Macaca fascicularis: one gene and its partner. The protein of the gene in region 2 purifies or fractionates together with the protein of the main gene of each other region. This does not show direct contact. Links are inferred from orthologs where the notes say so. Each region holds a gene or a part of one and is shown on either strand. Other genes may lie near its edges. The genes, in order: AQR and PPIE.

Evidence for each region.
Region 1: the proteins of PPIE (region 2) and AQR purify together in Homo sapiens (affinity purification with mass spectrometry; 5 studies listed by BioGRID and IntAct, counting the BioPlex papers as one, with this or other methods). This does not show direct contact. The link is inferred for Macaca fascicularis from reciprocal best matches to the Homo sapiens genes PPIE and AQR.

Annotation. Positions count from the first base shown.
Region 1 is NC_088381.1:11,494,973-11,499,341, forward strand, and holds the start of AQR (RNA helicase aquarius), read right to left. Parts: upstream 2,825-4,369; 5' UTR 2,690-2,824; coding exon 2,615-2,689; intron 1,593-2,614; exon of another isoform or gene 1,446-1,592; intron 1-1,445.
Region 2 is NC_088375.1:195,146,465-195,150,231, forward strand, and holds the end of PPIE (peptidyl-prolyl cis-trans isomerase E), read right to left. Parts: intron 2,580-3,767; coding exon 2,089-2,579; 3' UTR 547-2,088; downstream 1-546. UniProt on the Homo sapiens protein: Involved in pre-mRNA splicing as component of the spliceosome. Combines RNA-binding and PPIase activities.

The DNA of each region.
Region 1 (4,369 bases), on a different chromosome or scaffold from region 2:
AAAGAGTTGGCATATTTCAGCAGATTAGGCTTTACCTGTAAACTGTGAAATTTAAACAAATATATAACTCTCTCTACATATTTAAAGAAACAGCATAGTCTTACTCATAGGGTTTTATTTTAAAACCCAATTATAATCTCTTTAAAAATAGAAAACTGGCAAGCACAAAGACTCAATATATTTATAAAAAGGTGACTGCAGTATCTGGCATATCAGAGGCACTCACAAAGTCTGATGGATAAATGGATGGACAAATGAAGCAAAATCTGAAATGTTACTTCTGTGAGGCTGTCCTCAACACTACCTGATGGCGACAATTGCTTTTTCATCTTCATTTTGTATATAACTCTTTATAATCTTACCTTTCTACATTATAAATGATTGCTTATCCAACTTTCCTTCTCACTTAATTGGAATACTTAAGAGATGGGACCTGTTTTCTTTGCTTTCATAGCTCAGCGATAAACTGCACAGACAACACACTTAAAGAGCCTCCCAAGCAGTTAGGACACTGGCCCTGAGGAATAGCCTCTAAAAATATTACAGTAACTTCCTACTTAAATGACACCTTCCGGCCAGGTGTGGTGGCTCACGCCTGTAATCTCAGCACTCTGGGAGGCCGAGGCGGGTGGATCACCTGAGGTCAGGAGTTCAAGACCAGCCTTGCCAATATGGTAAAACCCCATCTCTACTAAAAATACAAAAATTAGCCGGGCGTGGTGGTTGTGTACCTATAATCTCAGCTACTCGGGAGGCTGAGGCAGGAGAACCGCTTGAACCTGGGAGGCGGAGATTGCAGTGAGCCAACACCAAGCCACTGCACTCCAGTCCGGGCAACAGAGCAAGACTCCATCTCAAAAATAAATAAATAAATAACACCTTCCCAAATTACCAATCACTCTCCAACTCAATAGAAAATCTTCACCTCACCCCCAGTTATTCTGGGGAGGATCTTGGTTCATTGCAACCTCCGCCTTCCGGGTTCAAGCAATTCTCTAGCCTCAGTCTCCTGAGAAGCTGGGATTACAGGCATGCACCACCACGCCTGGATAATTCTGTATTTTTAGCAGAGACGGGGTTTCTCCATGTTGGTCAGGCTGGTCTAAAACTCTGACCGCAGGTGATCCACCAGCCTCAGCCTCCCAAAGTGCTGGTATTACAGGAATGAGCCACCGTGCCCGGTTGAAGATTTTAAGGACAGTCAGCCTTAGTGTAGTTCCCTGTAGTCCCCGCTACAAGGGAGGCTGAGGTGGAAGGATCACTTGAGCCCGAGCAACATAGTGAGACCCTATCTTGAAAGAAGAAAAGGAAGGAAAGGAAGGGAGAGATTTTAAGAAGGCAAGTGATATGATGAGATTTGCACTTGTATAAAATCACTCGGAAAGCAACATGAAGAATGGGCTAGAGGACAGCAAGAAGAAGAACAATATAACAGATTAGGATACCTTCGTCCAGGCAGAAAACAATGGCAACCAGGCTTAGGGTGACAGAGATGTAGAACACCAGATAGATTCCAAAGATACTCAGAATGTAGAAATGTAGGGATTAAGGGAGGATTCAAAATTTCTCCCTAGGCTTCTGCCCTGACAAATCTGTTGAGACAAGGAATAAAGAATAAAGAAGCAGGTGGGCATGATAACTTCTACACTGAACTACTTACACTCTTACGCAATTCGCAAATAAAGAGTAAGAATGAGGAATGATGCTGACAACCACAGGACTGTGTTTCCCTATCCAAAGCCAACTGTGGCTCACAATGCAAGATAGTAAACAGATTCTAAATGAACGCTCTCCAACTACAGAATCACTCTCTTCTTAAATGGGTCTATTTGGAGGTGTCTTGTCAGTTTCTCATAGCTGCTCAAAAACTCAGGACACTCTACGGACCAGGAAAAAGCCTACTCCTACTTGAAGAGGCAGTCCAGCATCACTCTGCTGCGAAGGCTGCTTGACAGTCTCAGATAGATTGGGGTGTTCCCTCCTCTCTGAATCAATTGCTCCTGAGGCAAACTCCAATACAGCAAAACTCATAGAGTAGTTTTCTTTTTATGTGTCTTTTTTTTTTTTTTTTTTTTTTTTTTGAGACGGAGTCTCGCTCTGTCGCCCAGGCTGGAGTGCAGTGGCCGGATCTCAGCTCACTGCAAGCTCCGTGTCCCGGGTTCAGGCCATTCTCCTGCCTCAGCCTCCCGAGTAGCCGGGACTACAGGCGCCGCCACCTCGCCCGGCTAGGTTTTTTGTATTTTTTTAGTAGAGACGGGGTTTCACCGTGTTAGCCAGGATGGTCTCCATCTCCTGACCTCGTGATCCGCCCGTCTCGGCCTCCCAAAGTGCCGGGATTACAGGCTTGAGCCACCGCGCCCGGCCTATGTGTCTTTCTTAGGCCATGAACCCCTCAGGCCAGGGCAACCCATCCACCACGGTATGCCCAGCACCTAGCGTAGCTGCCGGCACGGAGCTCATACTCAGCAAAAAAGACTTGTGTGAATGAATTAACAAACGAATGCCTCCTCCGTGCTCCTAGTCCTGGAAAAAAAAAGAAAAAACCCCACCACCAGGCCTCGGGGCCACGACGTCCTTACCCCCTCACACATACACCAGACTCGCCCGAGCTCACCTGGGTCACGAACTCCGCGTTAATCTGGGACACCGTAGGGGCCACGATCTTCTTGGGCTGTGCAGGGGCTGCCATGGTAGCACGCTCCCCTCCACTCCGGTGGAAACGAAAGGACCGCCCTGGGCAGCGGCAAGCCTGGTCCACTTCCCCTAAGTTACGGCCGAGGCGCTTAACTCCGCGCTGAACAAACGTTGCGCGCCGGATATCCTCAGGCTTCAGAGTCCCATAGGGAACCCGTACTACAGCCCAAGCGTTCCCCGGGAAGCGGAATGGCGTGTAGCCGGAAGTTCATGCAGGCGTTGGGGCTGAGCTAGCGAGCCAAAAGCTTTGACCTCCTCTGTACGCGCCCTCTAGCGGGCGGCAGAGAGAAGACACCCCGCTGGCGGGATTAGGAGGGCAAGGCAGGGACCCGGTGGATGGTGTTGGATGGGGTTTCTCGTGGTTAGTGAGGAGCAGCGTGTGCGGTGAATGAGAATTTAGGTTTTTTTCAACCCCGAAGAAAAAACAAAACAAAACAAACAAACAAAAAAACAGCCTGGGAATATGGGCTGGTTTTTAACTGCCCTTAACAGTGTTGTAGTTTAGTTTTGTTTTTCTTGAGACGGCGTTTCGCTCTTGTTGCCCGGGCTGGAGTGCAGTGGCGCAATCTCGGCTCACTGCAACCTCCGCCTCCCGGGTTCAAGCGATTCTCCTGCCTCAGCCTCCCGAGTTGCTGGGATTACAGGGATTACAGGCATGCGCCACCACACCCGGCTAATTTTTGTATTTTTAGTAGAGATGGGGTTTCTCTATGTTGGTCAGGCTGGTCTCGAACTCCCCGACCTCAGGTGATCCACCTGCCTCGGCCCCACAAAGGACTGGGATTACAGGCCTTAACAGTTTTATGGCGGTAAAAACTGACATACCATAACCCAGCCGGGCGCGGTGGCTCATGCCTGTAATCCCAGCATTTTGGGAGGCTGAAGCTGGCCGATTGCCTGAGGTCAGGAATTCGAGACCAACCTCCCTAACATGGTGAAACCCCGTCTCTACTAAAAAATACAAAAAAATTAGCCGGGCATGGTGGCGCTCGCCTGTAGTCCCAGCTACTCGGATTCAGGAGAATCGCTTGAAGCAGGGAGGCAGAGGTTGCAGTGAGCCAAGATTGTGCCATTGCACTCCAGCCTGGTGACAGAGCGAGACTCGTCTCAAAAAACAAAAATAAAATAATAATAAAAATAATTGACATACAATAACCCACACATATTTAGGTTGTAAAATTTGATGCGTTTTGACATGAACATACATTTGTGAAACTGTTGCCAAAATCATGATAATGAGCCCCTAAAAATTTCCTCCTGCACTTTTGCAATCTGTACCTTTCACTATTCCCACCCACTTTCCAGGCAACCACTGATCTGCTTTCTGTCACCAAAGTTTGCTTTTCGTGAAATTTTATATAAATGAAATAATACAGTGCATGCCTTCTTTCACTCAACGAAATGATTTTGAGATGGATTCATGTTGTTGCATGTATCAGTAGTTCATTCCTTTTTTATTGCTTAACATTCATTCCATTTTACTGGCATACCACAGTTTGATAAACTATTCATCTGCTGATAGACATCTGAGTTGTTCCAAGTTCTTAGTTACTATAAATAAAGCTGCTATGAGCATTTGTGTATAAGTCTTCATATGGACATATACTTCCTTTGCTCTTAAATACCTAGGAGTGAAATATTTGGGTTATACGATAGGTATGTTTTTTTGTTTGTT
Region 2 (3,767 bases):
CCGGGCATTATGGATGGCGTGCACCTGTAATCCCAGCTGTTTGGGAGGCTTAGGCAGGAGGACTGCTTTAGCTGGAGAGGTTGAGGCTACAGTGAGCTGTCTTGCACCACTGCACTCCAGCCTGAGCAACAGAGACCCTATCTCAAAAAAACAAAAACCAAACAACAACAACAAAACAACGAATAGCCCATTAGATATCGGTATAGGGAAAAAATGTGTTTACAGTTATCTGCACCTAAAACATAATTGCATTATACATATAAGCCCAAAGTTTTGGAGTTCTTTTGGTTTTGCATGGAATCTTCTAGGAATGTAACTACTATGTAAATAAACAGATTATTCTTTACTTTGGAATCTAATCAACTTTACCATTTCACAAAGTCGTATCACCAATAGCATCATTGCTAGTGGTATCCAAGTTATCAGTTGACACTCCCGTCTACACTTCTAACTCTGCATTTGAGTACAGGTGCAGACGCCTGAATAACTTCACTTTGTGTTCTGACACAGCTGTGCTTAAGCATGTACATCTGGAAACACATTCGATTACTATGCAAATTCATTTATTTCCTCTGATGTTCTTCCCTACTATAGTTACAGATATATTGAGTTTTAAAATAATGGTGTGGGTCAGTGGGCTATATCACCTACACATATCGGTTCAGTATAGTAAAGAGGGGCTCTACAAACCACCAGTTAGAAAAACGGAGCACAGGGTAACAGGCTTCTGGAGAACAAAAGAATGGGCTCTGAGCCACTTCAGTGTTTAAGGGTCAGGAAAAGAAGGAGACAGCAAAGACAGACAAAGCAGCCATCTAGGTAAAAGGAGACAAGAAGAGGTAGGAGTCCTGCCAGCCAAGTGAAGGAGTCAAGGAGCACACAGTTAGTATAGGCTGAGCATCCCAAATGTGAAAATCCAAAATGCTCCAAAATCTGAAACTTCGTGAGCACCGACATGATGCTCAAAGGGAAATGCTCACTGGAGCATTTCAGATTTGAGATATTCCAATTTGGGATGCTCAACTGGTAAATATAATGCAAATATTTCAAAATACAAAATACTTCTGGTCCCAAGCATTTCAAGAAAGGGACATTCAACCTGTAGTATGAAATGCTCCTGGGAGATGGGATAACATCTGGGAGGTGGGATAAGATGATCGCCAAGAACTGGCTACTGGTATCTTTGAAGAGTGGTTTCAATGGCAAGATGGGACTAGAAGTCTGGCTAGAAGGGATTAGAGAAAACGCGAAGGCAGCAAGTCTGTACCATGCTTTCAAGAAGTTATGCTTTTACTTCTTGAAAAAAGATGGGGGACCAGAGGCATGGGTGATAGCTGGAGAGGGAACAAGAGTACTAAGATGAAGACTTTTTTCTTTTTTTTTTTGAGATGGAGTTTCACTCTTGTTGCCTAGGCTGGAGTGCAATGGCGCCATCTTGGCTCATCGCAACCTTCGCCTCCCGGGTTCAAGTGATTCTCCTGCCTCAGCCTTCCAAGTAGCTGGGATTACAGGCACGCGCCACCATGCCCAGCTAATTTTGTATTTTTAGTAGAGACGGGGTTTCTCCACGTCAGTCAGGCTCGTCTCCAACTCCTGACCTCAGGTGATCTGCCTGCCTCTGCCTCCCAAAATGCTGGGATCACAGGCATGAGCCACTGCACCCGGCAACCGGATGCAGATTTTTTTAAAGGTTGATAACTGCATGCTTTCTTGCTAATGGACTGAAGGGGACAACTTTAGAAGCCATGTTCCTAACTAGAGGAGAGGGATGGGATCCAGTCCACAGGTGGAGGGGCTGGCCTACGAGAGAGAGCTCATCCCCTGTAATTGGAAGAAAGAGCATGCACGAGTGGAGAGATGCAGGAGGCGAAGCACTAGATGAGGTGGGAAGGTGATGATATAAGGCTTCAGAAGTGAAGACAGGCATGGACACATCATCTCTGGCTGGGACTGAGCATCAAGTAGGGAAATCTGGTCAGGTTGGCAAGGGCCCCCTTAAGAACTATAGTTATAAATTTCAAGTGGGATCGTTCAGTACAATTCTGTGTTTTTTCTCTAGTTGCTGGGGGACTAACCACCGAGCTTTTACTAAGTAAATCTGATGGCAGGGGCAGGGAGAGCAGTGGGGTTGAGGGCATATGCGCTTGCAACGGCAGACCACAGAATCCAAGCTGGGATAATGGGAAGTGTGGACACAGTTGGGGGATGGATAATACCTGAATATAAGCAAGCCAACTCCACCCTAGCAAGGCTGCATGGTTCTCCTGCGTCTGGTGGCTGGGTCACCTCCAGACTCTTAGTCCCGTCAGCCAGAACCACAACCTGTCCTTTCATCCTGCGTGGCCATCCCACCCTTGCTAAGCCTCCCTCATCACATGCCAGCTGGCTCCCACCTGGTCCTGTGTGCTTGAGGATAAAGTTTTCATCATCGAACTTCTTCCCATAGATGGACTTGCCCCCAGTACCGTTGTGGTTTGTGAAATCACCGCCCTGGCACATGAACTGGGGGATGATGCGGTGGAAGCTGCTTCCTTTAAAGCCAAAGCCCTTTTCATGGGTGCACAGGCAGCGGAAATTCTCTAGAATTGAGAAAGGAAAAAGCGCTGGGGTTAAAAAACAGAACAAAATAAAACAAACAAAACCTCAAAAAAACTTGTTTAATGTTCATATTTTTGTTTTAAAATAAGGGATACTCATTATAAACCTTTGTGATAGTAACCTTGTAAGGACTAAGGGATTCTTTTTCTTTGAGATGGAGTTTCATTCTTGTCGCCCAGGATGGAGTGCAATGGCACAATCTCAGTTCACTGCAACCTCCACCTCCTGGGTTCAAGTCATTCCCCTGCCTCAGCCTCTCGAGTAGCTGGGACTATAGGCATGCGCCATACACCTGGCTAACGTTGTATTTTTAGTAGAGATGGGGTTTCACTATGTTGGCCAAGCTGGTCTAGAACTCCTAACTCAGATGATCCGCCTGCCTTGGCCTCCCAACGTGCTGGGATTACAGGTGTGAGCTACCACACCTGGCCAGGACTCTAAGAGATTATGATGAAAGGGGATTGAATATACATGTTCTAGCTCTTTTCTCTTCCAAAACCACACTAAATTGGTAGGAAACTGATTTTTTAAAAGAAAAACCAAAGGATCTTAGAAGAAAACATAGGGGCAAATCTTCATGACTCTGGATTTGGCAATGGTTTCTTAAATGTCACACCAAAAGCACAGGTGAAAGAAAAAATAATTAGATGTGAATTAAAATTTAAGATGTGCATCAAAAAACTGTACCAACAGAGGGCAAAGCAACCTACAGAACAGGAGAATGCTGATTTGCAAATCATATTTAATATGGGTTTAATATCCAGAATATATAATGAACTCCTGTAATTCAACAACAAAATGGCCAGGCAAGGTGTAATCCCAGTGCTTTGGGAGGTCAAGGTAGGAGGATCACTGGAGGTCAACAGTTCAAAGCTACAGTAAGCCATGATCTCACCACTGCACTCCAGCCTGGGAGACAGAGCAAGATCCTGTCTCTTAAAAAAACAAAACAAACAATCCAGTTAATATATAAGCCAAAGATTTGAAGAGATAGTTCTCCAAAGAACATATATAAATGGCCAACAAGCACATGAAAAGATGTTCAACATCATTAGTCGGGAATAAAAATAAAAACCACAATGAGATACCATTTCACACCTGTGGAGATGTGTGCCAGGCGCGGTGGCTCACGCCTGTAATCCCAACACTATGGGAGGCCAAGGCAGGCA